Drosophila melanogaster: one gene and its partners. The protein of the gene in region 3 purifies or fractionates together with the protein of the main gene of each other region. This does not show direct contact. Each region holds a gene or a part of one and is shown on either strand. Other genes may lie near its edges. The genes, in order: PDCD-5, CCT4, mst and Pfdn4.

What was found.
Region 1: the proteins of mst (region 3) and PDCD-5 purify together in Drosophila melanogaster (affinity purification with mass spectrometry, with the first as the bait; one large-scale study listed by BioGRID). This does not show direct contact.
Region 2: the proteins of mst (region 3) and CCT4 purify together in Drosophila melanogaster (affinity purification with mass spectrometry, with the first as the bait; one large-scale study listed by BioGRID). This does not show direct contact.
Region 4: the proteins of mst (region 3) and Pfdn4 purify together in Drosophila melanogaster (affinity purification with mass spectrometry, with the first as the bait; one large-scale study listed by BioGRID). This does not show direct contact.

The regions. Positions count from the first base shown.
Region 1 is NT_037436.4:16,229,077-16,236,516, forward strand, and holds PDCD-5 (programmed cell death 5), read right to left. Parts: upstream 2,963-7,440; 5' UTR 2,827-2,962; coding exon 2,764-2,826; intron 2,513-2,763; coding exon 2,398-2,512; intron 2,341-2,397; coding exon 2,117-2,340; 3' UTR 2,005-2,116; downstream 1-2,004. Other genes in the region: Tmx3 (Thioredoxin-related transmembrane protein 3), read left to right, coding at 225-264, 329-567, 625-1,248, 1,306-1,695; MED10 (mediator complex subunit 10), read left to right, coding at 3,126-3,247, 3,304-3,583; Hsc20 (heat shock protein cognate 20), read left to right, coding at 4,120-4,341, 4,394-4,506, 4,567-4,954; l(3)72Dp (lethal (3) 72Dp), read left to right, coding at 5,701-5,912, 6,136-6,186, 6,247-6,476, 6,537-7,165.
Region 2 is NT_033779.5:12,685,787-12,694,726, forward strand, and holds CCT4 (chaperonin containing TCP1 subunit 4), read right to left. Parts: upstream 7,149-8,940; 5' UTR 7,037-7,148; coding exon 6,931-7,036; intron 6,432-6,930; coding exon 5,779-6,431; intron 5,717-5,778; coding exon 5,577-5,716; intron 5,518-5,576; coding exon 4,833-5,517; intron 4,770-4,832; coding exon 4,752-4,769; 3' UTR 4,550-4,751; downstream 1-4,549. Other genes in the region: pdm2 (POU domain protein 2), read left to right, coding at 1-39; CG6153 (uncharacterized protein), read left to right, coding at 7,297-7,616, 7,680-7,870, 7,934-8,058; IFT43 (intraflagellar transport 43), read right to left, coding at 8,201-8,462, 8,518-8,640, 8,708-8,731, 8,788-8,940.
Region 3 is NC_004354.4:21,385,991-21,394,699, reverse strand, and holds mst (misato), read right to left. Parts: upstream 5,724-8,709; 5' UTR 5,689-5,723; coding exon 5,608-5,688; intron 5,553-5,607; coding exon 4,823-5,552; intron 4,764-4,822; coding exon 3,850-4,763; 3' UTR 3,167-3,849; downstream 1-3,166. Other genes in the region: Ddx56 (DEAD-box helicase 56), read left to right, coding at 6,849-6,914, 6,975-7,726, 7,922-8,350, 8,409-8,709.
Region 4 is NT_037436.4:5,365,192-5,372,324, reverse strand, and holds Pfdn4 (prefoldin 4), read left to right. Parts: upstream 1-4,316; 5' UTR 4,317-4,380; coding exon 4,381-4,425; intron 4,426-4,550; coding exon 4,551-4,922; 3' UTR 4,923-4,984; downstream 4,985-7,133. Other genes in the region: membrin, read right to left, coding at 5,007-5,520, 5,590-5,726; Uev1A (Ubiquitin-conjugating enzyme variant 1A), read left to right, coding at 6,169-6,196. UniProt on the Drosophila melanogaster protein: Binds specifically to cytosolic chaperonin (c-CPN) and transfers target proteins to it. Binds to nascent polypeptide chain and promotes folding in an environment in which there are many competing pathways for nonnative proteins.

The DNA of each region.
Region 1 (7,440 bases), on a different chromosome or scaffold from region 3:
ATTTTGGATATTTTCCACATCTGGTCAGTCTAAAGGGGGTGGTTTTTGCAAATGTTTTCTTTTGTTGTTGCTGTGGTCCGAAGGAAAATAATTTGGAACTGAAAATTAAACCAATCAACTAATTAAATTAAGTAAAGAAGCTATTAAAATAACGGAAAGCATGATATAGCAAATAAGGGGCACGTAAATTACACTTGGAAGTACAAATTAAACCTGCTGCAAGGATGTCGCCAAATTCTATGTGGATTTTCGGCCTCATAAGTGGTAAATAAATTACGAACAATAGAAAAAATCCAAGCTGATGCTAAATGATTTACAAAACCAACAGCTCTGCTTCTGACTCTGGGTTCGACGGGGCTATCCTCGAAGGTTTTGGAGCTCAGTGACCGGTTCATCGATGTGCGACACGAGGGCCAATGGTTGGTCATGTTCTATGCCCCGTGGTGCGGCTACTGCAAGAAAACGGAGCCCATTTTTGCTCTGGTGGCTCAGGCTTTGCATGCCACCAACGTTCGAGTGGGTCGCCTAGATTGTACCAAGTATCCGGCGGCGGCGAAGGAGTTCAAGGTGAGAATATACCATATTTGGTCCAAGTTCCTTATAAGCATCCCCAAATTCTTACAGGTTCGTGGCTATCCCACCATTATGTTCATCAAGGGCAACATGGAGTTCACCTACAACGGAGACCGCGGTCGCGATGAGCTGGTGGATTATGCCTTAAGGATGTCTGGGCCTCCAGTTCAGCTGGTCACGCGAACGGAGAGTGTGGACATGCTAAAGGGATCCCATACGATATTTTTCATTTTCGTAGGCCAACAGGAGGGCGTGGTGTGGGATACATACTATGCTGCAGCTGAAGGTTACCAAGAGCATGGATTTTTCTATGCCACCAGCGAGGATATCGCTGCCCAACACTTTGACTTTGAGAAACTGCCAGCGGTGATTGTCTACAAAGAAGAGCAGCACCACTTCTATCCGCATGGGCATTTGGCGCACGAAATGGACCCCAATGAAGTGAACGAAACCGTTTTCCAATGGGTGAACGTGGAGAGGTTCACACTCTTCCCAAAGGTCACTCGGTTCAACATCCACCAGCTGCTCAAGACAAACAAGTACTTGGTTTTGGCTGTGGTACAGGAGGATAAGCTCAATCAGATAGCCACGCATGAGCTGGAGTTTCGGGACATGGTGGAGGGCGTGATAAGAAAGCATAGGGCGCGATATCATGACAAATTCCAATTTGGATGGGTAAGTGATTCTATCATAGTTTTATCGATTTGGAGCTAATCAATATTTCCATTTCAGATTGGCGAGCCATCAATAGCACATTCCATTATCTTGGATCAACTGCCCACGCCTCACTTGATAGCGATTAATTCGAGCACCCAACACCACTTCATACCCGAAGATGATCCAATGCAAATGACTCCACAGGCACTGCACCTTTTCCTAGAATCCATCCGCAACGAAAGTGCCATTGCCTATGGAGGAGATACGTACTTTGTACGTTTGAATCGGGCACTGTTCGAAGTGCGAAGAGCATTAAGGGATATGTGGCTGGGAAATCCCGTGCTGACCACTGTCATCTTCGGCCTGCCATTGGGATTCTTATCGCTCATCATGTACTCTATTTTCTGCGGCGATTGCTTGGTCACAGAAGAAGATCCCGATGAAGATCACGAGAAGAAGGAGTAAAGGGATAACTTAAAAATGAATCTAGTGAAAGCTTTTGATTGCGAGTGAATGTTAGAGAAAGTAAATAAGATGATCTCATAGTGCATTTCCGAGCAAGATCATAAAAAGCTAGGAACATACAAGAATATGAAATGATAAATCCCTATAAGAAGTCGTAGAAGACCCCACCCCTCCTCTAGACCACTTTTCTACCGCATATAAATGTAAGCCAAATCTAGTCCTATGTCAGTGTATGTCATTGCCGCTTGGCACGAACTTCCAATACGCTTTAAGATTCGCCATCTGACACAAAGAAGTCCATACGTATTTGGGCATCTAGTTTTGTTTCTCGTTTTAAGTTAGTAAAAGTAATAAACATGATTTAGCGGATGTGAGGAGCGGGCATAACTTAAATTAGATGTTGGGCGGAATTTCGGACGAATCAGCAGCCGTAATCCTCGTCGTCGTCGCTATCGATGGCCGCCCGCCGCCGATCGTATTTCACGGAGGACTTGCTCTGCGGCATCTGAGCATTGACGCTTTCGAGGATGCTGACGAACTGGGCGTCATCAAGTTTTCCACGCACCTGACCCATCTGGGCCATGCGGATGACCATGTTCTCGAACATTTGCGCCTTCTCCGGCTTGCTGACTTTGAGGGTATTAACTAAATGATATTTTATAAGTTATTAGCTAGAGATATTCAAGGTCTAGATCCACATACGTCGTGCCCTGGCCTGCTGGTCCAGAACTTGGGATAATATCGAGTGCTTCATTTCCTCCTGGGCGCGCATCTGCTCCTGCTGGGCTTGTTGCTTTTCCGCATCATTGCCGCCGCCCTAAAAATAGGAAAAAAGGAGTTAAGGTCATTGAAGGATTGCCCTTTAAAGAAACAGGTGTCCCAGTCGAGAAGGATGACTCATAGGGAAGGTGTCTATAAGAACTAACAAAGCATACCATTGCTAATGTATTCTTAACATTTTTATTATATTTTATATAGTCTAATTTGCTTTCATTCCAAGTTATGACTATTTTTGGAATTCTCTAGAGGAATCTAGCCGGTTTGGAGCCACTCAAATATTTCACTTACGAATTGCGACTGCATTTGGGACATGCGCTGCGCGCGTAAGGCATCCAAATCACTATCCGACATTCTGGGTTCTTATTCTCAGTATATTTATGGCAGTAAATTAAGTAATTATTGCTTTTTTTGCTTCTATAAAAATAAATCACGCTCTTTGTAGCAAAAAAAGTGTGCGATTGAACAGTGTGACCTTGCTATTCCTTGCTTATTCGTAAATCCGAATGCTCAAAATTGCGTTTGAGTAGCCCTGGTCATTCGGTGTTTTCTAGAAGAAGAAGAGTTGCGAAGAAAAATAAAATATTTGCCAAGGAAAACAAACATATTAACGAAATACCCACAAAATAAGGAACGAATTTGAATCGTTAAAAATGTCTGCACCGCTAGAGAACCTTGAGACCCAGCTAGAGATGTTCATCGAGAATGTTCGTCAGATCCGCATAATCGTAAGCGATTTTCAGCCACAGGGTCAAAATGTACTCAACCAGAAAATGTAAGAAAATGCTAAAATTTATTTGATCAAATGTCTATAAATATGTGCACCATTAGTAACAGCTTGGTGACCGGCCTACAAGAGATCGACAAGCTGCGCTCCCAGGTGCAGGACGTCTATGTGCCATTTGAAGTGTTTTTTGACTACATCGACCAAGACAAGAATCCTCAGCTGTACACCAAGGATTGCGTGGAGAAGGCACTGGCCAAGAACGAGGAGGTCAAGGGCAAGATCGAGGGCCTGAAGAAGTTCAAAACGAATCTGCTGCTGGAGCTGTATAAAACATTTCCCAATGAGATGAACAACTACCGCGCTTATCGCAAGGACTCCATGTAAGGACGTGCTCGAAGGACACGCGACCTGAACTTTAGATTGTAAGCCACATGTTGGAATAAATTTATACTTCTGTACATAAAACTCTGTGTTTCACTATCCATTAAGACTATATGTTGGTATACTTTCCTGCTCTTTGTCTGATATTTTCTTATGTATATATATAAAATGTTACTTATTAAAGACATTAATTTGTATATTTTTACCTTCCTTTTCTTTTTGCTTATATTGAACCTCTATCCTATTTGAACTTTATTAAATTGAATTGTTTCTATGAATAAGTTATACTATATTTAATTACTTAATTTCAATTAACAATTTTTAAGGTCTTACATTTTAAATAGACCAATGACTATTTAAACGTCATAAATGTCAATATTTAATAGTTAAATGAAATAGTTTAAAAAGTTTTAAGCTCGATAGTCGCAAAGCAGTAGCGTTGCCACCTTAGTTTCATATCAGCTGTTTTTTGTTATTATCAGCTTGTGTAATTAAAGGCTTCGATTGTGTATATCATTCAGTTAAATTTATTGTAGAAAATGAGTAGAGTTATTAATGGCTTTAAAAGTGCTGTAAAAGCTACAAATTATACACCGCTTGTTAGAAATGCAGCACAATTTAATCAATTCCAGTTGCCAGAAATACGGAAATTTTCAGTTGAATCTTCGCCGGCTTGTTGGAATTGCCAAAAGAAATCGGAATTAAAGCAGAATATGATATGTTCGGACTGTGGACACTTGCAGGATGTTAACTCAGGAATAGTTAGTACTTATCTACATTTTATTTGGCTAATTTAACTTTTAGTTTCTGTAGAATTACTTTAAACTGCTCAGCTTTCCCATTCAATTTTCTTTGGAGTCCCAGAAGTTGACAAGAAGTTTTCGCCAGTTGCAGACCATTGTGCATCCCGATAAATATAGTAATAAGTGGGTATAGTCATAAGTGATAAAATCAGGAAGGCAACGATAAAATCCCCTTGTTTACAGAACCTCACGGGAGCAAACAAACTCCTCAGACTGGAGTTCCCTCATCAACAAGGCATATAAAACGCTTTCCACGCCCATAGATCGTGGTCAGTACCTTCTTCAACTGGAGGGCGAACAGATGCCGCAGGATAATAGCGCTCTTAACAAAGAGTTTCTCATGGCCATGATGGAGCGGAACGAGGAGGTGGAGGATGCGGAAGACACCCAAACGCTGGAGAATTTAAATATTCAGCTCATCAAGGAACTGGAGGAGATGGCCCGGAAGTTAAATGCCCTTTTCGATAGCAAAGATCTTTCGGGAGTCAAAGAAACCCTCGTAGAGATGAAGTACCTGCTGAGTATTCAGAACAGCATTAAACAGAAGCAACAAAGTTTGCTGGGCAGCTGAATTGGCATTAATCGACTTGGCAATCGGTTCTGATCGCACACACACACGTCCGCCTGTTGCTATCTATCAGCTGTTAAGTAAACAATAACACAGACTTCGTTTGTTTTATAATGTGAATAAAAATCGCGACTGAACAGTTATGATCGATGCAATTAGTTAATTATCCAATAGTGCCCGAATAAAACAGGTTTTTATCCAACTTTCGATGGAAGCCCCAGGAGTAATTCCCCTTCTCATTGAGCACCCTGTGCCACGGTCACAATACTTTGGAAAAAAAATATAATCAATTAATCGCAGTACTATCTGCTGGACTCAAGTCGCCAGGGGTACACCCCCCGAAGGCCCTAGAAATCACACATCGCAAACTCATGCCCACGCACACAGCCTGAGCCATTTGTATAGGTGAGGAAAATCGTCGCACCTTATATAAATTCAAATCGACTGTTGCCTCAGCGGACAGTTCCTATTAATTGGTCACCGAGGTTGGACTCACCTGTGCCCTTGCCAAGACTTCCCGTTGGGAAATACTTCTGGCAGCCGGAAAACTTGCGAATAATTAAAACAACAAGCTAAGAAAGAATTCCCTGAGAAAGCTAGCTTACCGACTTAGCGTGTTTTTAAAGAATTACCTGTGGAATAATCAATAGCTCATAACAAGGTACTTAGGAAACTGAAGATACCTCCAACCGAACCAAAGAAAAACGGATATTTCGGAAGATAAAATACTCGTTTTAAGATCTAACAAAATGCAGAAGTTCTCGATCAGCTTGCTGATCTTCATCGGAGCTCTGTTGGCCGCTTCAGAGGCTGGCATCTCATCGCCCATCATAGGGGTTCTCACACAGGAAGTTTACGTCGATGGTTTGATCTCGAGACATTTTGATAACAAGACCAGCTATATAGCCGCCTCGTATGTGAAGTATCTCGAAGGAGCTGGAGCCCGAGTAGTGCCGATTTGGTAAGTGAGCAGAAAGATTCAAAGATCTTATCGTGACCGGTAATTCTGCCACTGCTCGATAAGGTCGAATAGGGTAGGGTGGCATTAAGTATTCCGACACGTGTATTTATAGAACATAAATTCATTAGAGAGTAAATTTGATTTGGAGACCGAAATTTCGTTGTATTGATAAGATTGCCTGAAATCAATTAATAAACAATTTTCATACAAATACCTTTGACAGGATCGGTCGCAATCGCAGCTACTACGACGATCTCATGCGCAAGATAAATGGGTAAGTATAAATATACTTTCTAGGAAGTTCCCGCATCTAAATTTATTGCTACTTCAATAGAGTCTTGTTGCCCGGTGGAGCCACTTGGTTTAATCAGAGTAATGGGTATGCGGATGCGGGCGAACACCTCATCCACTTGGCCATTGAACTAAATGATCAGGGCGTCTTTATGCCGGTGTGGGGCACTTGTCTGGGCATGGAACTATTGGTTTACAAGCTGGCCAACGAAACGGAACACCGCATTAATTGCGAAGCGACCGGCATGGCCGTGCCTATGGAGTTTAAAGAAGGTATAGTTTGTTATATGAATTTATATATTCCGAATGCTGAATCTACATATTTTTATCTAGACTATAAGAAGAGCCGCCTGTTTGCATCCATCACCGATGATGTGGTGGACACCATGGTCAAAGAGAATGTGACCTATCACTGGCATCAGTTCTGCTATACGGAAAAAGACTTCGAGCGGGATCTACTAAACGAAACTTGGCGGGTTATGTCCCTAAATCATGACTGGAATGGCGTTGAGTTTATTTCCACCGTAGAGCACATAAAGTACCCCTTCTATGGAGTACAATTCCATCCGGAGAAACCGCTGTACGAGTTTACAAAGACAAGCATTCCCCATACCGCAGCTGCTGTGTTAAGTGGTCAATTCTTCGCCGATTTCTTTGTGAGTGAGGCGAGGGAGAGTAATCAGAGCTTTTCGAATGCCACGGAGCAGGCCAGGACGCTCATCTACAATTATAAGCCGGAGTATACTTCGATTCTGGGCTCCTCGTACATACAGCAATACCTATTTACCAATGTTGAAATGGAAATACCCGAAATTCCGGAGATCCCTGATGAGGGCGGCAATAACGATGGGGGTAGTAGTGGCGGCTACATTCCCATTGTTGTACCAGGCGGTGACGGTTCTACCACTATGCCTTTACTAAGTGGATTGCTCCTGACTCTGGTTCTCTTATCAATTAATTAATTGACTGCTTTGCTCACCAAAGTTGTGGCCAGGACTTTGAACTTTGCGTAGAGTTCACAAATATCACATCATTTACGCACACGATATTTTCGGGATTATTTCTTGATCGATTTTATAACTTAATCTTCAATAGATAGCTTGATAGCGTGATTTCTAATCAAAATACTTACTATTAGCGTAATATCAGAAGATATTGACCTTGTTGTCGTGGGTAAAATTGGTAATTTTTGTTTTTTGGATATGGTTGGCATGAGGAGATTATATGCCAAGAGATT
Region 2 (8,940 bases), on a different chromosome or scaffold from region 3:
GGTTCCTTCTGCGGCAGTTCCATCAGTTCAGGGGAATAGGAGAAGCGGGTTCAGCATGGAAATCCATCCATCCAATCTTGTACATAGTCAGCTTATGCTCCAAATTCTTCCACAACATTCCACATGCCAGACTCTCCATATCAAATGCAAACAATGCCATGGATGTATTTAGTAAACTAGGTGATAGCCAGTCGTATCAGAAAATCCATTACGAATTTATGAGTACATATAGCTCCAGTACACTATACTACCTATTCGTATCTGTATGCATATAGAGTTCCTAGTTCTAACTATTCCCCAAATGCCATACGTGTGTATCTGTTGTGCCCCATATCCCCCATATCCATTATGCCACAAATCAGTCCTCTAGTTGTATTTACTGTACTGTGTATTGACCTAAATGTGTATGTATATGTATACCGATGTTGTTGTACGATGTCCAATTGTAAATTGATCTTGAACACACTTAGATCGTAACATCCAAAAATTTCAATAAAATTATTCCGATAAAATAATTTATAAAAAAACATACTGTATTTTAATATTGGGTGGAAACTGTAATCAAAGATAGATGCAGTTCAAGATATGCGGTCTATATATTAGAATCTTCTGCTTAGTTCCATTCCATTTCTATATTATTTTTTAAAAACATTTATTTTATTTTTATTTATCTTATTCAATGCACTAAAGAAAGGAGTTTCATTTAATTTGCCACCCATATTTACCAGCTGTATGTTTTTGAAAAGCCCTAGCTTATTATTCAATTAGCCAGCTCTTTAGGTTTACTCCAGCGTGTGCCATATAAAAACGCACTCGAATCTCATTAGGCAGAGCCTAAATAAATATTGAACGAGGTATTTAGTTAACTGATTTCCTTGGCCCGCCCCAAAAGCGTTTGCCAGCCACGCGACAAAGGCAAACAAGACCATTTTTTAATAAACTTCCTGGCAAACGCGGGCCAAAACAGCAAAAGGATGCGAAGGAAGGACCCAAACCAGCAACCCCTTTTTTTTTTATTTTTTTGGTTGCTTTGGTTGTCGAGTGTGGATTTGTTGGATAAGAAATCACTTCATCTTTTTGGGCCCGGCGACAGTCAATATGGCAGCGCAGACAGAACCCTTATTTGTATATCGAGGCAAGCGTGTAAATCCTTTTTTTACCAACCCCCAACTCCGATCCCTCGGCCCGGATTTTCCCCCTGCTGCCAAAAGTTTGCCGGGCTCTGATTCGTTTAGGGCACGAATCTCTAAAAAAATGATAGAGTTGGGGAAGTTGGCAAAGGGTTCATGCCATCAATTCACACATGGTTATGTCATATGCTCCTCGCCTCGGTGGTTGATTTTGGTCTTGTAGTATGGGTAGTATGGATATAGCTCCTGTGTTGTTTGCTGTTTTTTTTTTTTTGGACTACGATGTGGGCAGTGGAAGTATTTTATGTTGTCCCAGTTGTATCCTTTGGAAATCGCTTAAGCGAGTCAAGTCCTCGATGGAGATATCTTAATGGAAGTGTGCCAATAAATTAGGTAAATGATTGTGAAAAGGAGTGGAAAGGACACATGTGCTTAGCACTGGTTTTTTAGCATTTTTTTAAGCTGGATAAATATTATTGAGTAATATTTTCTATGCATTTAAGGAAAGCTTCAAAATATCCTGAATAAATATAGACATTTATACCTACATATGCCTGGTTTAAAATCAATCTGAATAGACACATATCCTTTTGCATTTTGATTTTTAGAGGCTACTTTAATTTTAATTTATGTATTTCACTTTGAGGCAACACATATTTATTTAAAACTTTTACTTGCCTGCAGCTGGCCAGAGTTGCGAATAAATTTTTAATCTGGCCAGAGGTGAAATCTCGACCAGAATCCTTACCCCATTTAATTTGCAGGCCATTCGCCCACACACACACACACACACTCTAGCACACATCAAACGGAGGCCAAAAGGAAAAGCCCATCGATTCCAGCACTCACACTTAATTGGCGGGCACTCGAATTTTGGGCAGCTCGGGGGCTTGGGACTCTTTGAATGTTATCAGTCCAGTGCAGACGACGTCCGTCCATTCCACATGGCCAAAATGTAAAGAAGAATGGCAGCGGACGCAATTTCGGTTTTCAATGGGGGGAAACTTCAATTGCATTGGTCATATTCAAAGTGCCCTAAGCCTGAACTGGTCCAAGTGGGTTGATAAGCCCCGTGGGCTATTATTTCGGGGGGATTACCCCGGTGGTTTCAGATCGTCCGGTCGAGATTTCATTTGGCTTTCATTTGATCGATTTGATTTCCTTTCCTTTCAACGAACGTTGAAATATTTGCTGCATTTGCAAATTGAATTTTCTCGCCGGAATATGTTTCATTCCTGTTTCGCCCGATTCATTTATAACAATTTAATGAAATTTTCGAATGCGTTTTCATAATATTGTCGTCGTCCTGACATCATTAATCACTCGCCACTTGGCAGGACTAACGAAAATTAAGTTTCCTTTATGCTTTTGCTTCAGCATTTCTATTCTTGATAAGCATTTCGGTCTTGCCTCCTTGAGTGGCATGAACTAGATGGAAGTATTTCGCTAAACTGAGCTGTTAAATGTTTGGACCATTAAATAAATACTTGAAGTCTAAGGACATAAGAAAAACTATTTTTTTTAAACAGAAAAAGTTTTTTCGTTTTATGAATAAGTAACACGAGATACAAATGATAAGAATAGGTACAAATTATGGAAGATAGATTAACATAATTCTTAGACCGATAAATACGCTATTGCACTTAGCAAACTATTTCTTTATATATTTGATTCATTTTATATCTTTTAGCATCCTTTGTTCCTATTCTATCTGCCAGATACTCGAGATCTAAGATATGACAGACACTGGTAATTTCGGTTGAAAGTGCTCGCAAATTATATGGCGAGCATATGTTAAATTTCTGCGTGACTGGCTGACAATTCGTTGCTTTGAATTTCAATTCGTTTGGCAAAAAGAAATGTAACAAGGACACACAGGACATACAGGACATACACACCCCTTTGCGCCCTTTTCGCCCGACTGGAGAACATAAGACTTGTGCAAACATTTGGGTAAAAAAAAACAACAGCAGCAAACGCGGGGAAAACACAATTGAATTACAATGAAAATATGAAATGAGCAAAAAGCAGATGAAGAAAATCGCACACAAAAATTAAGCAAACAGGCGAAACAAAGGAAAAGTGCCCGAAATAAAAAGTTTCAAAAGTGTGGGCCACTGGCTCTGCGAGCAAATAGCTCGGGAAAAAAGCGCAAATTCAATATTTGCTCAAAAAACAAATGGGAACGAGGACGTGAACGACAATGCCCCAAGACAGTCGAGCAAATAGCTAAAAAATATAAAAGTAGCGAAAATAAAATAAATAACTAAGAGGGGTGCTGCTCAAGTCGAATGAGTTGATACACTTCATTTTCTTAGGTGGATAAAATGCAAGCTTAAGATTGGTACTTGAAATACTTAAGAAAACATGTATTTTCTATTTAATGAGATTTTCAAAAATGTTGATTACAAAATTAAGTTTAAAGAAAATGATCTCATATTATCAAAAATGTATGTAGAATATGCTCATCTGAAAAGCGAGCACTGACTTTTCCACCCCCTGCAAGTCAAAATGGAAACCCAAATCAATGGCTGCTGCGCAAATAAACTTTAAAATGGAAAATTTGCATGCGTCTCCCGGAAAAGTGATAGAAAACCAACCCCTAAAACTTTTCAGCAGCCAATTAGCGGAATAGCTTTTATTGGACGGGCTAAAAAAAAAAATCAAAGCCAATCAGTGGCGTGATCCGAAATCAACACCATCTTGGCCATCACCTAGATGGGTGGTGGAAGATAGTGGGCTGGTGAACTCGATCCCTTTTGACATGTTTACACATTTAATTAACTTACACGCGCCGAAAGTTTCCGGACACGTTAGATAGTCCCCGTCTAATCACACCCAAGCGAAAACCCCACCCGCATGAACTTCCAAAATGGGGCTAAGAAAACAAAAGGATAAAGACCCTTTCGCAACCCAACCCCTAAGTCTTCCCTTTTTGACAATTTGAAACCAGTTCAAGTGGTTTAATCATTTAACGCACATCATAAAAATCGCATCAAGTGATTTTTATTTACACGCCCAGGACAAAAAGGATCCCCAAAACCTAAACGGAATACAATGATTGGGGCGGGGGTGCGAAATGGTTGGGGGTGAGCCATCCCTTTGAAACCCAAGGCGTTGGCTAAGAACAAGAAAAATGAACTCGCTCACTAGATAAGGTTTCGGTTAGTTGATAGACTTTTACGCTGTAATGAAATCTTAGAAATTCCATTTAAGAAGGAAATATATATGTATTACAAATAAGCTTAACCGCAAAAGGTATTAGCTTTTAATCTTAAGGAATATATAAGTCTTTATATAATGAGTACGAACTTCCTAAACATTTTTCCTTACTCCAATTTGTGATTAACTAATTTTATAGAACTATTTAACCTCAGAACAAGAGCACATATCAGTAATTAAATTCAAGTTTTCATGTAGGTTGTGTTAGCGAAGTATTTAATCATATAGTTTTATTTTTTAAATACATGTTAAGCTGGTGAGGCGTAGTGTATATGTGAATTTTATTCAAAATTTAATGCGCAACCGCATAATGGACATAAGATGTGAGACTTTAGATGAATTTGCGTGAAGATTGATCTTGATCAGAGGCAGACGACCGAAGAATGCGGATTACACTGCTTAACTGAAGGTGTTGACCTGTGAATAAATAAAAACATTCATTTAAATTTAAATCATTTCATTCATTTGTATAACACTTACAATATCGTCGATCTTCAAGATCGATCGAATCGTCTCCGTGGCCAGGGTGATCGACGAAATACTGACCAGCAGCGGCTGCACAACGTTCTCCGCGAAAATGTCTGTGATGGCGCCCTTGCGCACATTAATACCGGCGTTCTTCTCACCCTGAGCGTGGCGGTTGCGTAGCTCCGTGACCGTGGCAATGGGATTCAAACCGGCGTTCTCAGCCAGAGTGGAGGGAATCACCTCCAAAGCATCGGCAAATGCACGGAAGCAATACGCATCCACACCCTCCACGGTTTGTGCCAATGCGGCTAGCTGCAGGGCCATCTCAATCTCGGGCGCACCACCGCCGACAATCTGGGCGCGCAGCTTCACCAGGCAACGGACGACACAGAGGGCATCGTGCAGGGAGCGAGCAGCCTCCTCGAGCACCAGCTTGTTGGATCCGCGGCAGATGATCGAGACAGTGCGTCCCATGTTCTGAATGCCGGTGATCTTCACAAACTTGTTGGTACCACTGGCCACCTCCTCGACCAGATCGGCACTGGAAAGGTTCTCGGCTGTGAAGTGATCCAGCGAAGCGATCGGTCGGCAGTGCAGGGTCTTGCACACGAACTCAATATCCTCGCGCTCCACATCCTTAACGACCATGCACTTGATCTTGTCCAGGAAATGCTGAGCCAGATCAGAGACAGCATCGCTAGATAAGTGGAGAACTATCAGCACAAAGTGGACAAATAACAAGTAAGCTAAACCTACCGCAAGATAGACTTCTGAACGAGAAGAACATTGCATCCTGACTTCTTGATCTGCTTGACAATGTTCAGGATGTATGAACGCTCCTCCTTGAGCACACGATCCATGGCAGCGTAATCCGATACAATCACATTGTGATCCATCTGTAATTTCGGCATAAATTATAAAAGACAATAAATTGTTAGGATCATAGCGATGTACTCACATCGGTCTTGGGGGCCGAAATGCAGAACTGGATAAGACCGATCTTGGCCTTCTCAATGCGCTTGGGAGCGTTGGATCCGGCAGAGCGGCAGGTGAAGACCAATCCATCGACCAGCTCGGTGTCCTCAACAGTGCCACCCAGGCTGGAGATGACCTTGATGTTCTTGAGATCCACAGAGGTTTCCTTGCCGGGATCCGTAACCTTCAGCACGGCATCCACGGCAATGGGGGCCAGCAGGCTGCTCTGCTGCGACACCACCTTGGAGTTCAACGAGGTGGAGGCGCTCTTGATCAGCGTCTCGCGGTCGTCCAGCTCGATGGGAGTGGACATCTGTTTAAGAATCTCGACGGCCTTGTTCGAGCAGCGCTGGAACGAGTCCGAAATGGCCGTGGGATGCAGACCCTTCTGCAGCAACTTCTCGCACGCCTCAAGCAGAGCTCCGGCAATGACAACCACGGAGGTGGTGCCGTCACCAGCGGCCACATCCTGGGCACGCGACAGCTCCACCAGCATCTTGGCAGCCGGGTGCAGTACATTCATCTGCTTCAGGATGGTGGCGCCATCGTTGGTGATGGACACCTCGCCGTTGCCGGCCTGGATCATCTTGTCCATGCCGCGGGGGCCCAAACTGGTGCGGATAGCATCGGAAACGGCTGGAAAACAGAATTATTTCAATAGGTTATAAATGTATTTTAATATTTCGTTAAAACTTAATGAGAAACTCAGATAAGTGGAATTCGTGTGGTTAGTTTTACACAGCAGCATGACTAATTTACATACATACATACAAAAAGACATATGGTGTTTTATGTGTTAATTCAAAAAATCTACTGTAACTTATCTTAAGAGATAAACAATAAAATCCTTGTAGCGGATAAAAGGGTATTGGGAATAGAGTATTAAAAATCCTCAATTTTTAGGTTGTTTCAATTCATCACATGAGTAATGCGCGCTCTTCTTCTTCTTCCGCCCAAGAAGTTTCCAGACAGCCGGCATCCAACTGCTTTTTCAATAGGCCATTTGGCCGGAAATTCTGATGCACCACTGCTCGGAATTCAGTCACCTCGGTTCTTAGCTCAATAAATAGCACATACGCCAACATTTTGATACAAAAATGTGTTTAATTTTGTTAATTTCCTCGCTTTTTCTCACCTTTGGCCGCCTGGATGTTGGACAAACGCACATCGGTGGGCTTCGACTTGTCCTTGAAGGCCTTGGCCGTTGGCTTGATGTTGACAGCTGCTGCCTTGGGCGCCATTGTAGGGTTAAGTTATAGTTTTTTAACAAAACACAGTTATTCTACAATAAATTCACAGCGATTTACACAGAACACGTTGCTGCGAAATGTTAAGGAAAGTGTGGCCGCACTCGCTGAGCTCAAATATACCGCCAACTTATCGGCATCGATAACATCATCCCTTGTGAATGGCAAATTGGTGTGACCGTATTTTGCGTTGTGACTCGGCTGCTTTATTTACATTGAATTTTTGTTCGATTTTTGAATTTAAAATAAAAATAATGCCGCACGGACACTCTCACGATCACGGCGGCTGCAGCCACGAGGCCTCGGACGTGGACCACGCCCTAGAAATGGGCATCGAGTACAGCTTGTACACCAAAATCGATCTGGACAATGTGGAGTGCCTGAACGAGGAGACGGATGGCCAGGGAAAAAGTGTCTTTAAGCCGTACGAGAAGCGCCAGGATCTGTCCAAGTACGTGGAGAGCGATGCGGATGAAGAGCTCCTCTTCAACATTCCCTTCACCGGCAACATCAAGCTCAAGGGCATCATCATAAGTGGGGCCAATGATGACTCCCATCCAAACATGGTCAAAATGTAAGGAACAAAAGTCAAGGCTGCTTTAATATTACTATATTCATCATATATCTTATTTTTCAGCTTCAAGAACCGACCCAGGATGACCTTTGATGATGCCAGAGCAAAGCCCGACCAGGAGTTCCAGCTGACCCGCGATGCCCGCGGAGAAATCGAGTACTCACCCAAAGTGGTCACCTTCTCCTCCGTGCACCATCTCTCCCTCTACTTTCCCAGCAATTTTGGCGAAGACATAACACGCATTTACTATATAGGTAAGCTCACAACAATCTATGTTTTATCTGTGTTCCCAACTAAAACCAAGTCACTATTCAAAGGTCTTCGAGGAGAGTTCACAGAAGCTCATTACCATGGCGTAACCATATGCAACTACGAATCCCGTGCCAATGCAGCGGATCACAAGGAAAAGGCTTTCGATGGAGTCGGCAGAGCCATCCAATAGGGTTATAGAGATTAAAATTTACAATTTAATTGAGTATCTCTGTAGTGTATATATTTTGTGATCATTTAAGGCAAGAAATGTTTTTGTATTCGCTTAACTTATTGAGCATTTGTATTGCACAGATATTGTGGGCTAAATCATACTAAGTATATTGTGTGGGTGGAATCACATCGGGTCCTATTTTCATGCCCATATTGGGCACTTTATCCGAATGGATTTCAGCCGTGACCTCGGTGAACAGCTTGTCCCACTGCCAGAGATCGTCCTTCTCGTTGAGGCTCTCCTGTGGAACCAGGCAATCGGTGAGGATTGAGAGATCAAAGCCATCCACAGCTGAAAAGGCGTACTGGGAAAGCAAATCGGAATTGGCCTCCTTCAAAACAGCAGATCGTGAGGTGCCAATACTACAAATTACAACTTATTATCGTAGTGAAGAGAAATATAGCAGCTTCTGCTTACGTTGGCGGTTCTACAATCTCATTGAGCATGATTTCGTCCTTGACATCATCCATGTCTGGGATGACGGGAATGTCATCCGTTGGTATGGAATTTGTAGCCGACTTTGTTTGTTTAAAGCGCTCACTAAAATGAATTTTATCATTATAACAGTCGGTGGAAAGTGAAGTTATTGTGATAAACTTGTACTCACTCATCAAAGGAGTTTTTCTTGGACCTAAAAAGATATAGAGCAATCAGTAATGTGCCTAATTCGAGCCTAATCATACCCACTTTAATCCTTTGAGTCCAGAATCCGCCCAGCCACCTGAAATGCGACGAATGGGTGGTCGATGTGACTCGAATTCATTGTTGTATGTGGACGAGGTGGCCGTGTCCGAGGTGGTCGGTGGGGTGCCCGCCTGGACATTCAGCGTAATGTCGATG
Region 3 (8,709 bases):
AACCGCCGAGACCTCTAATTTCCCCGAGTACAATACAGGATGGCATTCCCGTGCTAGCCCTCCTTTGGCCCTCTGCTGTCGTCCTTTTGCTATCTCCTCAGATGTTGTGGCAAATTAAGTTTGCTTTTGTTCTAGATTAAAAAGGCATTGAAATGTCGACATCGAAGGGCGGTGGGTGGCAGCCGAATGAGTGGGTGGTAGTAAGCGGCAGTTAAAATGACGCCTTCGGCCAAATTTAGCTAACTTTGTTAAGTTTGTTTTGGCCGCGGGAGCCGAGTGTCGGACGCCGCCTCCGAGTACCTTCGCCGGATGATGAAGTGCCCAGACGGCGATGGAACCACAGATATAGCCGGGTGCGGATGATGGGGGCTGCCAAGACGGGCAGAAATTAAAAATCAACTGCCGCGTGGGCGAACAAGCCGAGCACTTAAGTAGCTGACCAACTGAGTAATTGAAGGAGCTAATTGAAAACGAAGGGATAAAGGGATAACGGAGCTCAGGATACAGAGAGAAACGTTAGGATTACATTACTGTGTGCTTTACTTTACTAGTCAACTAGTCAACTCTAAATCGGGAAACCTGGAAACCGATTAAAAAATTGCGCGGTAGATTCTCGCAATCATAGATTGATCATAAATCATTAAATCATACAGCTGAGTGGAGTCAAAAATAATAGTCAACTTAAAAGCGAGATCTGTTGAATAAAACTAATTCGAAATGAAATTTTATATAAAGAAAAAATGTTAACAAATATATCTTAACATGTATGGCAACTTTATTGATATTTAATAAATGCCTATATTCCTATAAAAAAAAAAAACTAGTTTTTTATGCGTTAAATAATAGCCATCACATCACATACTAATCCAAAAACTTGAAGTCATTGGAATCCCTTCAGCCTTGCTAATATGGAATCCTTTATAAATGAATCGAATCTAATTAGTACAATCTAAAACCATATCCTCAATGAGTTCCTCGAGCCAGTTATACTGGCCTAATACTATTAACCATCTTAGATCAAGTGAGTGAGTTAAGTTGTGTATGCACTTAGACTCGCTTAATTTCTACAAGCAGCTCCAGCTCGACTTCAATAACCATCGTTCCTGATGCCAAGCCAAGAAGCTACTGCTTAATACTGATTAGATCAGGCTCGCGACGTATTAGCACATAACTGCACCAGAGAACCCACCGACACTGTCCCAGATCTTGGTGTCTTATTCGATCATAGGATCTGGATCAATGTAGAGCGATCCATAAGTAATCCACCAATGGCTCCCATTTCTGGCCTCCGAAATCCGTACAGAACTCGTCACAGTGTTCTCTTCCTACCCAAGCTCATTAGCGCTCCTGACACTTGCCACCTGGAAGGTGACTAGCTGCCGGATACAGCCGTCAACATTCCTTACATACATATGTGCATGTTGAATAACTTCAGGTTTAAGGCATTTTGAGTTTTAAATAATTACGAATTTATGATGACATTAAATTCCAATGCAATTATGCATTTCGTTCTCAGTGTACCTACCAGTGTCCCAGTGTCCCTGTGTCCCAGTTAAAATATTAACTTCTTCTTTTACGTTTTAGATTGGAGCTGTGCAAATTTGGCCTACAAAATGAAACTATTTTACATGCCTCGCCTGGTTTTATGCCCACATTCCAGGCGCTTAAAGATCTGCCTGATTATTAAATTTAAATTCTACAGAAGTTGACACCCAGTGAGTGGCCCAGTGTTTGGATCAGAGCTGGTGCAGCCCACATTAATCAAATACATGTATTGCAGGTGGAGTGAGTGGCGGCTGGATGTGCAGTGACAGGACTGCATGCTAATGCAAGGACTCGTCCCAATTCACATGCAGACCGAACCGGACCGGACCGGTCCGAATCGAAAATGAAAACGAAAACGAAACAAAATTAAAAGCTGCAAAAAACAATATACGAAATATATACACTCCACTAGCTCGGCAGGCTATTCAATTTGGCATTTCGAATTCCACGCACATATTCCATTAAAGTCGTTGGCGTAATTTTAATTTCGGATTTGGTCCTTTTTCCCCGGAAGTACACCAGCAGCAGCTAGAGAACAGCAGCTGCTTTAAGGACCTGTGCTAAAAAGACGGCAGAATGTTAAAGGAGCGGTGCCAATCAAATTGAAATTTAATTTGCAAAACAATGTGGACGCAGGACGCAGGGCTGGTGCGGAAAACTTGACCGGCAAACGGAAAACACTCGCCCAAATTATGAACCCCCTTCTCCAGGCCCTAATCCCAATCCCAATCCCATCCACCTAGTCGCCGCCCGTTAGCAGTCCATAAAATTGTGATTTACTCCCGTTGAGATTTCAATTACTGCCGCTTTATTGACAATAAATTTTCGTATAAATTAAGCGGCCCAGCTCCCGATCCAATTCGATCCGATCCGTAAGGGTTAAGGTTAAACAAAGCGGCCAGTAGCCGCACGTAGACGTCGCGGAAAGGTGAAGTCGACCAGGAAGGGTCCTTGGGGTCAACGGAGAAGATGGCAACCAATTCAAAAGACCGAATTCCGGTTACCCAGTGGTTGCGTAGGTCCGTGGCGTTATTTGTGTTTGATATGAAAGCATAGCGATTGTTTTATATTTTTTTTTATATTTCATAAAGGCAAGAGTTTTAAAAAGAAAATCTGTAAAAAAGCTGACAAATTACATAGATAAAAGTAATTCAGAAATAAAAGCACACATCCCTTTAATTTATGTTTAGTGCAAGTAAAAACTCATTAGTCCCAAAACAGTTAGTTCAGTTTTTTGACTATAGAGTCTATCCTTTTTAATAAAGACCTTTTCAATAAATTAATATGCCCCTGGCCTTTTCCAGGATAGCAGGAATAAAAATTGATTGCCATGCAAATAAAAATTCACCGATTTCTTTAGGCACGTCCATGTCGTCATGGTCGCACAGTGGGCGAAATAGCCCATCCGGCACGCATAATTTAATAACTTCCTAACGATGAAAGCCAACATTTATTATGAGATATAATGAGATTAACGATTTCCAAGCTCAAACACCTTTTATTACATATTATCCCTAAAATGTTTTTTAACACCATTAACATTAGTACGCCAATCAAAATGTTTATAGTAAGCAAATAGTTTAAGACAAGGTTTTTAACAGCAGATAAATTCCAAGAATTCAGCTGAGAAACTAAAGATATAAATCGATGTAATTATAGACCTTGTAGTCACAAACGTTTTACCGCTCAGAATTAAACATTTTTTTTAAATACTTATCAAATTGGCCATTTCGACCATTCTGCGTTATTAGAAACTTCATTGACGACTCTCAAAATTCTCTGCCCAGACAACATTGTTTTTGTTTTGTTTTGTTTTGTTTTTTACTTTCCTCGCTTTCCTGGAAACGCGAAAATATCAAAGCCGCTTCCGAGACTGCCAATCACAAAGTGCCGCGGGTGGGGCCACAGCCCATCAACTTCCGCTCCGGGTAAAGCTAACCAACCTGACACCTTAGAGGACAAGGAGCATGGCACATTAAGCTTATACATACAGGCCGTAACAATGGTTTCGAGAACATTTTAAGCTAAGCAAATAATATATGCATCGATAGGTTGAGTTTGGTTACAACAATCTTCACGAGAGTCGTAAAAATAAAAGAGATATAGGAATTCTAAGGGAATTACAATTTAACAGAAATAAATGCACAAGAACTAATCAAATTATGTCGTTTGAACTAAACGAAAATATAATTCGGAGGCAATATAAAATGACATATTCATCTTGAATTCGACTGTATACGAGTGTTTTTTGTGTACATAATCCTAGGCTTATCACAAAATCTTAGTTTCCAAAACCACAGCATCCTATAGATACTGCGAGTCTGCGTAAAGGTCGCGGAACTCAAGCAGCTGATCCAGCGCCGTATCGTACTCATCCCGCTCCAATCCAGAATTAGAGTACGCTTGCAACTTGGCCAGCTGCACTCGATGCGATTGGGCGTGCACATTGTCCAGATGCTCGCCCAGCTTGGTGGAGTTCTGTACGGCGGCCAGCATGGGTGCCGAATCCACACGACTACCCGTCTCGCGTTCCGCCCCCTCAGGCAAGCGGTAGCCATCGCGTGATATACCGGCTGCAAACATTTCATAAGGAAAAGGTAGCTGTGTCTTTAGTGGCAGTGGTGTGGCTGCCGCATTTGTAACACTTCCATGATAGGTGCACTGGTAGTATAGCTGCAGCATATGGGATATACTATCGCAGCTATAGGCAGCCATCCGAAGTTGATCGCCGGCCAGCTCCCTGGGCCGTTTCAAACGTTCCGCGGGAATGCCACGAGCCGTCACTGATTGCACCACGTAGGATGTGCCAGGCTCACAGCCCGGTGTGAGTTGTGTGAGCAGCGCGTGGTCGCCACTCTGGTCTAGAAACTCTATCAGATCCTGACCCTCCCTCAGCCCAAATGGCAGAGCCAATCCAGCGGCGGTCATCTTTCTGCCCGCTGGAGTGACGCATTCGCAAAAGCGTAGCAAAGATTCTGGCGTTTGCCGCAGGCGGTAACTCAAGGTGGCCGTGTCGAAAAAGGCGGCCAGCAGCGCTGATGTCTGGTAGAGGTTATCCGTCTCCCACTGGAGTCCCGGCAGACTGCGCGACTTCAGATTATTGTTTCGCCAGATGGTCTCCAGCGTGGATAGCGGCGTGAACATCAAAGCCTGCTCGCTGAGTTGGTGGTAGCCCAACACATTGTTTACCACCCGAATGCTGTGCGACAGGCGGGTATCTGGGAATTGGGCAAACTGTGTTAATATGCTAGATTTCTTTAAAAATCACCTTACTTACCCGCTTGGGGATAACTAGTGATCCTGGGATAGTGAAGTGGCAGCGCGAAACTCGCCCGGCTGTACTCATCGTTGAGGTGCTCCAGGCACTTCCCAGCCAGTCCGCCGAAGCCATCGTCAATGTCGAACAGCACGTGGAAGCCCTGCAGGCCATCGCACTCCTCTACATACAAACGGATACGATCGCAGAACTCCTCGTTGAAGGAGACTTCCTGCCACATTTCTGTTCCGGCAGAGTAGGTACCCAGGGCTTGGGCAGTCGGATCTCGGATCAGCCCCGGCAAGACATTCAAGGTTCTCGGGTGATACCTGGCGTAAAGGAAGTCCACCCAACTGTTTGCCGTCGCTGCCAGCTGATAGTTCTTCTCGGGCACCACAGCATTCTTGAGCAGATCCCGCTGATATTCGGAAATGGAGGCCTTCGACTGCTCCTGCACTTCCAGCTGCTCCGGTGAGCATACGCCGCTCTCCTCTGCCCGCTTGCGAACCTGTTCCAATTCCTCTCCGGTGCTCAGGGGCAGCAACTCCTCATCACGCTGCACAAAATTGCCGTACAGCTCGCCGGTCACCGGCAGATGTCCCAGGGTCCCGGACAAATCCACGGACAGCAGGCGGGGCGTGTAGGTGGTACGATTGAGGTCGTTGCGCCCTTCACGGTACAAAATATCATTGTTGGGCAGCTGCTCCTCGGCCACCTGTTCGCTTTCGTCTCCGTACCTAAAGTTGGCCTCCTGGAAATGTGTAATTCGTGAGGCTCCCGGCTGCCAAGTGGGTAGGACAACTCACCTGCTGGTTCCAGAAGTGTGTGCCCACGTAATTCGCGTACGTTCCGAACTGGAAGGTCAAAATTTCACGTGTATAGTCCATAACAGCCGGCGAAAGTGACTAATTCGGATGCAATTGCGCGAGCCCGCGGAACTATCGATTTTCGCGGATATATCGATAGCTGTGTGCGGTAATAAGCGTTCTTAATTTCGTTGATTGGATACTCTGTATTAAAAATAAATATATTTAAAAATATTATTTATAACTGCAAAAAAGATTTATATATTTTGAAAGTTTTATAGGAATATGTTATGTTTATTAATTTTACTTATGTATGTAAATATATCGATATGACCTTAATGTCTATCACATTGAGAAAAAAAACATAAGAAATACGAGGAATTTTTACAATAGAGCATAACAACCTTAATATGTAACCCGCAAAAGCCGATTGCAAACTTATCAAGTCATACGGTAAAATCTCAAAAAAGAACGGTAGCGTTTGTGGCTCCAATTGTTTAGTTATTGGATTGCAACGGATTTTATTTTCGGTCGATACGGTGAAACCTTATAAATAGGATCTCCGAAAGAAGAAGCTATAAGTCGGCTTAAACGTATTTTTAAAGAAATTGTCGATTCCCATAGATTCACATATCCATTCAGACGGAGGATAAATAAGTCAGAAAAGAGCGAATTATGAGATTTCTCTAATAAACTAGAAAAGAAGTTAAGGTGCTATACAATGTTAAGTTAAAATATTTAATTGCTGATTTTTACACACGTTACTCGTAGAATAAAAGGGTATACTAGATTGTGTAACAGGCAGAAGGAAGCATTTCCGACTATTTAAAGTATATATATTCTTGATCAGGATTAAGGATTAGGAGCCGAGTCGATCTAGCCAAACTTTATAAATTTTTTCTAATTTTATTCCCCAATTAGCTATTGATATCCCAGAAAAATGATGAAATTTCGCGTTCGCATTCACACTAGCTGAGTAACGGGTATCTAATAGTCGGGGAACTCGACTATGGCATTCTCTCTTTTTATTTATTTAATTTAATAAATGGAATATATTAAATTTTTTTTAAAGGTATTTGCTTACCTTTAAAAGTAGATTTCAATAACTGTTTAATTCAACTATCGATAAGCCGATAAAGTCGCCGATAATTCAATGGACCGATGCCTCGCTCTTTTTCTTGTTGGGCCAGAAAACGTGCGCTGCGCATTTTCCAGCGTTTTTTTTTATACCGTCGCCCACCATGAGCCAGATGACCCAGAAAACGGTGCAATTCCACGAGCTGGAGCTGGATCAGCGCATCCTTAAGGTGAGTGCCCGGCTTGCGACCGACAGTTCCAGATTTTAAAGTGTTGCGCTCATCTTTCAGGCGGTGGCCCAGCTGGGTTGGCAGCAGCCCACACTTATCCAGTCGACGGCGATACCGCTGCTTCTGGAGGGCAAGGATGTGGTGGTGCGCGCCCGCACCGGATCCGGCAAGACTGCCACCTACGCCCTGCCACTGATTCAGAAGATCCTTAACTCCAAACTGAACGCCAGCGAGCAGTATGTGAGCGCTGTGGTCCTGGCGCCCACCAAGGAGCTATGCCGGCAGTCCCGTAAGGTGATCGAGCAGCTGGTCGAGTCCTGCGGCAAGGTTGTACGCGTGGCGGACATTGCCGATAGCTCCAACGACACGGTGACCCAGCGGCACGCCTTGTCTGAAAGTCCCGACATTGTGGTTGCCACACCCGCCAATTTGCTGGCCTACGCCGAGGCTGGTAGCGTGGTGGATCTGAAGCATGTGGAGACCTTGGTGGTGGACGAGGCGGATCTGGTGTTTGCCTATGGCTACGAAAAGGACTTCAAGCGGTTGATTAAGCACCTGCCTCCCATCTACCAGGCTGTCCTAGTCTCCGCTACTCTAACCGACGATGTGGTGCGCATGAAAGGCCTGTGCCTGAACAACCCGGTTACGCTTAAACTCGAGGAGCCGGAGTTGGTGCCGCAAGATCAGTTGTCGCACCAGCGCATTCTGGCTGAGGAAAACGATAAACCGGCTATCTTGTACGCCTTATTGAAGCTGAGACTCATACGCGGCAAGAGCATAATCTTTGTGAACAGCATCGATCGGTGTTACAAGTGAGTAAACCATACGAATCCCGCCTTAGATGCACAGGAGCCAATGATGATTAAACCACAAATGCAGGGAGTGGGCAGCTGGCAACAGTTGGCGCACGCATGACCAGCAACTAATCTTCTCGCTGACGGCATTCCCATCCGCCCCTAAATACTTACTATAATTCGTTCTAATTATTACCCATTTAAATGTTTCAGGGTTCGATTGTTCCTAGAGCAGTTCGGCATCCGTGCCTGTGTCTTGAACTCCGAGCTGCCTGCCAACATTCGCATCCACACAATTAGCCAGTTCAACAAGGGCACCTACGACATAATCATTGCCTCCGACGAACATCATATGGAAAAGCCAGGAGGCAAATCAGCGACTAACCGAAAATCTCCTCGAAGCGGCGACATGGAGTCGAGTGCTTCCCGCGGCATTGACTTTCAGTGCGTGAACAACGTAATCAACTTCGACTTCCCCAGGGATGTCACGTCTTATATCCATCGGGCTGGCAGGACGGCTAGAGGAAATAACAAGGGCTCCGTCTTGTCCTTTGTCAGCATGAAGGAGTCCAAGGTAAACGATTCAGTTGAGAAGAAACTGTGCGATAGTTTTGCAGCCCAAGAGGGCGAACAGATCATCAAGTGAGTATAGAATAACATCTTCAAAATTGTAATATTGCTAAGTGTGCCATCACTTCAGGAACTACCAGTTTAAAATGGAAGAAGTTGAGTCCTTCCGTTATCGTGCTCAGGATTGCTGGCGGGCCGCAACTCGCGTAGCTGTTCACGACACTCGAATTCGAGAGATAAAGATAGAGATCCTCAACTGCGAGAAACTAAAGGCATTTTTCGAGGAGAACAAACGCGATCTGCAAGCGCTTCGGCACGACAAGCCTCTGCGCGCCATCAAGGTACAGAGTCATCTCTCTGACATGCCCGAGTACATAGTGCCAAAGGCCCTGAAGCGAGTGGTTGGAACGTCCTCTTCCCCTGTCGGAGCC
Region 4 (7,133 bases), on a different chromosome or scaffold from region 3:
TTAGACGCGCCGACCTTTGGCGCAGTCTCTCAAAATTGCCCAAAATTACTCGCACGTAAAACAATAAATTTTCATAATATCCCGGGTAGCCCAGACGTGTGCCACGCCCCAAAAGCGCCAACGCCCACATAAGGAATGGATGCTGGCCACGTGTAAAGTGCAAAATTGCACCATCAGCGAAATGGGCCAAGTCGGAACATCAGCCACAGACACACACACAAGCTGCGGAATGGGTTAACGAATATATGTATGCATGTATATGTACATATATGTATGTATGTGTGTATGGTTATAGCCATGGCTAAAGGCTCACGGATGGGCTGGGAAATGGGCTTGGCCAGCCAAAGATTAGCGTTATTTGTATGCAAAGCAGCAGGCCAGAGGCAGAAACATTGCAGGCCAGTGTCACCATCCAAAATGCCATTTTCAAAAGTCGAGCTCAGGAGCGACGTTAGGATGGTGGATTTCGGATACAGGAAGACGACTCCTGTTCCAGCGAACACAACGAGAAACGTGTTTCAATTTTTATGACATTTCAATGCAGTCGATGTCAGCGAAACGGGTTGAAAAACATCGGGCGGACATCGGAGAGCTCGTTACGATTTTGACAATTCATATTTTTGGCCCGGGGGCAACAAAATTTGTATACACATTTGCCCCGAACATATCTCAAACATATTTCTGGACAGTTCAATTCAATTGTAAAATTGATCGAAAAATAATAAAAAAAAAAAAAAACGAATATAGAAGATACAAAGGTAGAGAAGGTGGATTGCGCATACGCCATGTGGTATGCGATGGCTGAAGTTCAGCCAGGAAAATACCTTTTATTTGCATTTCAAAGGCATGGCGTTGTGGAGTTCACCTAGCACTCACTCATTATTTATGAATTGAACAGCACAAAATGCTACAGTGAGAGTGATAACCACCATGTATTATTTATGAGACTTCAGCAGTTTCCCCCAATTTCTGTTTTTCCAGGCAGCTCCTTTTTGTGTGGCCCGCCAAGAACATTTATTTTCCGCTGGTTGTGCACATAATGTTGGGGCATTAAAAACAAAACCGCTTATAATTAACCAAAAACTCAATTAAGTGCAGTCACCAGAGCAACAATGGAGATGCAGAAAGTTGGGGTAAAATTTAAGAAACTGCTTTAAATGTAACAAAATAATTAATAATACTATTTCTATGAAGTTACAAAGAAGTTATTTCATTTCCTTGACATTATTTTTCTGACTTGCAGCTTTGTATTTTCTTACTTATTTCAATTGCACTTCAAAGTTAGCAAAACTTTCCAACCTAATGACCATACCATATTCGATCAACTTTACCCTCATTATAAGCACATTAGCCAAGTGTCGCTTATTCCACTTGGCCTATCAGTCATCAGGGTTAATCATATATGTGTAGCTGCCATTATTATTCATTTTCGTTCTACTTATGCCACCTGTCGAGGATCCACTAACAAAACTCGAGTTCCGCCTCATCAGAAGGGACAACCTCTAAGTGAGGCCATAAATCCAGCTGAAGCCTCTCATCGGGGAAACGTGACTCTCATGTGGAGATACAATGAGTGTCTACATATATGAAATGGGTCCGTAGTCTGCTGCTGGCTTGATAAATTAACGCATTAAAGCCATAGCTGAGCTTCCACCACCAAGAGGCGGCTTTTAATAACACAAATTGCAATCGAATCCGAAAAAGTCAAGAGGAACGAAAACGGAATGCGAAATGAGAGCCGATATATGTTAACTCGATTTTCATGGCGTTGGCTCATTCGAACGGGCCAACTTAAAGCATATATGTGTTGTTTTTTTTTTTTTGTACCCAAATTCCCATTAAAACATAAACAATTTCTGTTGTAGACATCGGCTCTCCGGGGAGATTGAGGCAAACCACAAATAGCAGCTGGAAATAAACAAAAGTTGGCATATCTCAACTATAGAATAAAAGGCCAATGACGCAGTCAAGTGCATATGCTGACAAAAAAGTTTATAGAAGCTGTATTTTTTATATATATAATAATATAATATAAATATATATGTATATATATAATATATTTAAAGAAGTGTGTTTCTCTTACATTTCTTAATGTTTCTTTTCTTTGTATATATGATATATTTTTAAATGAAACATAAATTTCATTTTTCTGAGTGCAAGGACCAAACTACAGGATAACTACAACTGACTGCCTGGATCAAACAGCATTTACCGAACCGAATTGTCCTCGTGCGCACCTGTGTGCAATGAAATCGAAATCAAAGCACATTCATCCTGCAAAATGGACAAACAATGAAATAGTTGGGCAAATGTAAATACCAACTGCAAGCAGTCGAAATACATCAATAGCCCAGCAGAGCAAAGTTTAACTATCTATTTTTTTTTTTTGCGAGAAAGAAGGTAGTCATACTTCAACTGCCGGTCGCCAATTGCTGCCAAGTTTTCCACTCGATGGAGATTGGGAAAAGAGGCAAAATCCACAGGAGTCGCAGAAAGGGAGGGGAGGCAGCGGAGCCCGCAGGAGGTGACCGACATGTGTGCCTGGTTTAGTGGAAAACTGATTGACGCCATGTCCTTTGATTTCCCTCGTGTTTCAGGACTCACGCACTGGAGGAGAATGGCCGAAGGATGCGGGACGTAGCGAGTCCTTTTTGCAAGAATCCTGTCCATATGTGGGCATCACTTGATGACCCGAATGTGGGTCAATGGGAAAGGATTCCATCGAAGGCAGCAATGGAAATGCAAACCAAAGGTGTAACCATTTTCGGTGCAAATCTAAAAATGAATTCGATTAACTTTACGTAGAATAAATATATAACTAAACAAGCTTCAAGCAAGAATCATTGAAATAATGCAAACAAATTCGTATTCAATCCTTTTATCATTCATTACATACTTTGCAACGAATATAATATACCCTTTTACTTTGCGATAAAAGGGTATAATAAATTGCAGCAACTTCGTTCGAAATGTTTGCTTAAAGGAAATCTCAAGGATAATCTGATTGCGATGCTAAAGCAATAAGCTGATGAAGTTTTCCATACACAAGTTCGTTACCTAGGATAAAACTCAAAGGACAACTTGTTGCAGCAAACATCGTTTTTGCATGGCGCAATTGCAATTGATGCGATGCAAATGCAATAAATTAGACATCAATTTGCAGCAAAAATGTCCATATTATATATATTATTATAGATCTCCCCCCCCCCTTTTGTTGCAATTATTTGCCTAAAACCGAAATTATTTCAATTTGTGAACTGACAATGTCCATACGGACTTTCGGCGGAAAAGCGAAAGGATAAGCGGAGTCATCGTCAGGATATTAACACTATCACTTCCTGCACTTTCCCACTACCTCGATGGCTAATCTCGAGTTTGTGTCTAATTGCATTTGCATATTTTGATAATATTCGAAAAGGGGAAATGAAAGTGGCAAATGCATTCGCCATTCGAAATACTCAGTTTAATGCGGATTCAAAGGGAATGGAAAATAAGGGTGGAGGCGGGTGTTAGTGAAATTTAATTGCATCGTGCGAAGAAATCCCGTTTAATTACGGCGATTAACTGTAATAATTTATTAGTTTTTGCTTAATTTGTGACATGTGCAAACAATTAGTGATTCAATCGCATGGCCAAAAAGGAAGCAATAATAACTTTGACTAATTAGCTGTGTGCGGTAGGCTTAATTCGTGGCGAAAATAATATGGCTGAATCACAGAAACAATTAATACGCTTTTTTTATTCGTTCGTTAAGTTTTGTAGTGCCACATACTAAAGAGTAGGAAAAAAAAACGTTGATAAGTAATTACTCTCATTGAATTTGCATTATTTGTTAATACTTTACTAATTTAAAAAAAAATTAAAGGAAGTTAGATTTTACCTATTTATAAAATAGTTCGATTTAAATGTAAGCATAGGACATATAATTTTAGCAAATTTTTTTTGTTTTTAAAAAGTAACTGCACTTGAAAATGTTTTTACACAGGATATGTACATTTTAAATGTACTCCACTGTAAGATTACACAAAATCATTTTTTTTACACGTTACTTACACTGTTAAGTGACAAAATTAAAGGTAGCAAATATCTAAATTATTAACCCTACTTATTAAATATTTTATATATTTTATATTCAACATAGTCATAAAAAATTAAACATAACTATTTAAATAAATATAAGTGCTGAAGATATAACAATAAATTGCTAAAGCGGAATCACTTCTGTAAAATAGCCTAACGCCTCGTTCTCTCTGTTAACTGCTCTCCGTTTGTCAACACTAAAATGTTAAACAAATAAAATTTTTTGCGAAGCACCGAAAACAGCAACTGTTTGTAAAATATCATAAATTATTTATTAAATTAATTAAAACCAACGGGAAAATGGCAGCAAAAGTAGCGAGCGGCACGAACAAAGTGTTCCAGAACGTGAGTATGGGTGAATCATCAAAGGACAGCTGACTAAGATGAAAAGTAACCTCACTTTGTCATGGTTTTTTCTGTGCATCTGCTCAATTGAAATTTATGATATATATTTTAAATCGCATTTTCAGCACGATGACGTGCACATCTCCTTCGAGGATCAGCAGCGGATCAACCGCTTTGCGAAGCACAACGCCCGCATGGATGACTTCAAAGCGGAGCTGGAAACGAAGCGCAATGAGCTGAAGAGCTTGGAGGAGGCGCTGGAGGAGATTGAGCTGTTCGACGAGGACGAGGACATACCGTTCCTGGTTGGCGAGGTGTTCCTCTCGCACAAGCTGGAGAAAACACAGGACATGCTGAAGGAGACCAAGGAGCAGGTGCTCAAGGAGATCGCCGGCGTGGAGGCCAAGGCGAAGGTTATCAAGGCGGAAATGGACGAGCTGAAGGCTCATCTGTACCAGCGGTTCGGCAGCAATATCTCACTGGAGGCCGAGGATTAATCCACAATTGATCAATTGTTAATTTAACATTTTACAAAATAGAGTACATTTAATTTAAACTCAACTAAACGCGATGTCTTCAGATTAGAGCACTAGGAAATAGATGATCAGGGCGATGATAAGCAAGGTGACCACCACTCCTCCGATGAATATCCGACGATCCTCGACCAGCCGGCGTTCAATAAGTTTCATCGTGTGATTGGACAGACCCAGTGTGCTGCCTATCGCCTGGATTCTCTTGTGCGCTCCGCCCAGCGTCATTCTCTGCGAGATCAGGCTCTCGAGAATGCCGCTGCCCGAGGCAATCATGTCGTCCACACCCCGATGGGCGTTACCCAGCTGCGTATGATGCTGCAGTTCGTAGTCCAATTGCAGGCGCGTTTCCTCCGGCTGCGCGCTGTTTGCCGTGAATCTGTGATTCAGCAGCTGTTCCCTCTCGGAGATCTCCTGCATCCGTCGCTGTCTTCGTTCCCGCGCCGTCTGCAGTGATGTCTGCAGGTGTCTCAGGTCATATTTCAGCTGATCCACACGAAGTTTGGAGCTTTGTCGCTGCGAAGGTGGCACCTTATACAACAGCACATCCAACCGATCGCAGTTTCTAAACACAAAAGATTTATTTAATAATACAAACTCCTCTTGGGATAATATATATCATTGTAGAACTCACGCGTTCGCCTGGGTAATCTTCAATTGAATGCCGTTTTCCACGTCAAGCGATTCCTGGGCACTGAGCTGACTCAGTCGCTGGAAATCGCGCTCGATGTCCTTTACCACATTGTTGGTTTGGTGGTACAAGCTCTCCATGTCGTTACACCTATTGATTCCGCATTAATTTATGGGCCCGAGAATATTCGCAAATTAATATTTAATCGGTTGCAATTGGTTTGTTTTTAAAAAAGCTGACGCGTTAACATTGGACAGAGTGTCATGTTAGTTAACAGCACTGATAGCAGAGCAGCTGGCTGCCGTTTTTGGTATGACCATATATTATGACAAACTTATCAGCTAATGCAACTATTAAATTTCCTTTTTATTTTCAGAGAATATGCTATATATTGTTAAATAATGATTTTTAATTAGTGACCAAATATTGCACTTGACGGCGCTGTTAAGTGTTACCACTGTTAACGGTGTAAAAATCAGAGTTGTTAAGCAAGCCAAGCAAAACCTAAACCGCACTGGTCACATCGCACTGGAAACGCGTTAGCACACTTTTACGGTATTTTAGCACTTAGCATTAACCACAATGGCGAATACATCAAGTACCGGCGTTGGTAAGAAATAAAATTGATAAATTAGCAATTTGGCAGCTTAAAAATGCGATCCCCGCACGCCCGGAGTTGTTGGCCATCCGTTTTCTGCATTTCCCGCTGACCGGCGGCGATTTTTCCGCCGCTACGGACCCGACAAGCGGACCGCAATGTGATTGTGTGTGTGGTGCAAAACGGGCAAAAAGAAGACGAAAGCAAGGGCGAAAGACGAAAGCCGATAAAAGCGAAATGGGCGAATGGAAATTTATTTTCGCCAGCGGACCACGCTGCTCTTGCAATTTTCCTTGGCCGCGTTTGGCGTTGGAAAAACTCCGTTGCAATTGGGCTTCGTGACTTGACATTTTCCGAAATATCATCCCCGCTCCTTCCTCACTATGTGGCTCTCGCTCGCTCGCTCGCGCACGCTCTTCTTCTTGCCTTCATACTTAAAGTTTTTTCTTTATTTTCCTTATTTTTTGCACACTTGCGTTTTTGCAAGCTGCCTTGTCTTTTCTAATTAAATTAGCTGCCATTTACATTTGCCTGGATTGTTTTTGCAAATGCAGAAATTATGCTTTCGCCCCGCCCCCGCCGACACACCCTCCCCCCGCGCCCATCGTGCTTAATATCTGCGCTTCGCATTTTTTTTTTTTGACTTGTGTTCTCTGCACGAAAATGCGTACAAAGTCACACGGCCGAAAACAAAAACAACACGAGAAGCAGAGCGCAAAACAACAACAACACGTACCCATATGACCCCACACTGAGAGGAAAAGTCGCCGAAATATCACCGAAAATGGTTTATACCATAGAAAATGTGTAGAACAGTCCTTACTAGTTTGTTTCTAAATAGATAAAACTGTCGTTTATAATTATATATATGTATCTTATCTGTACGAGCCCGTGATTATAATTATTTAGAAAGCTAAGTACTTTCTTGCCCCGCCAACCAGAAAATTAA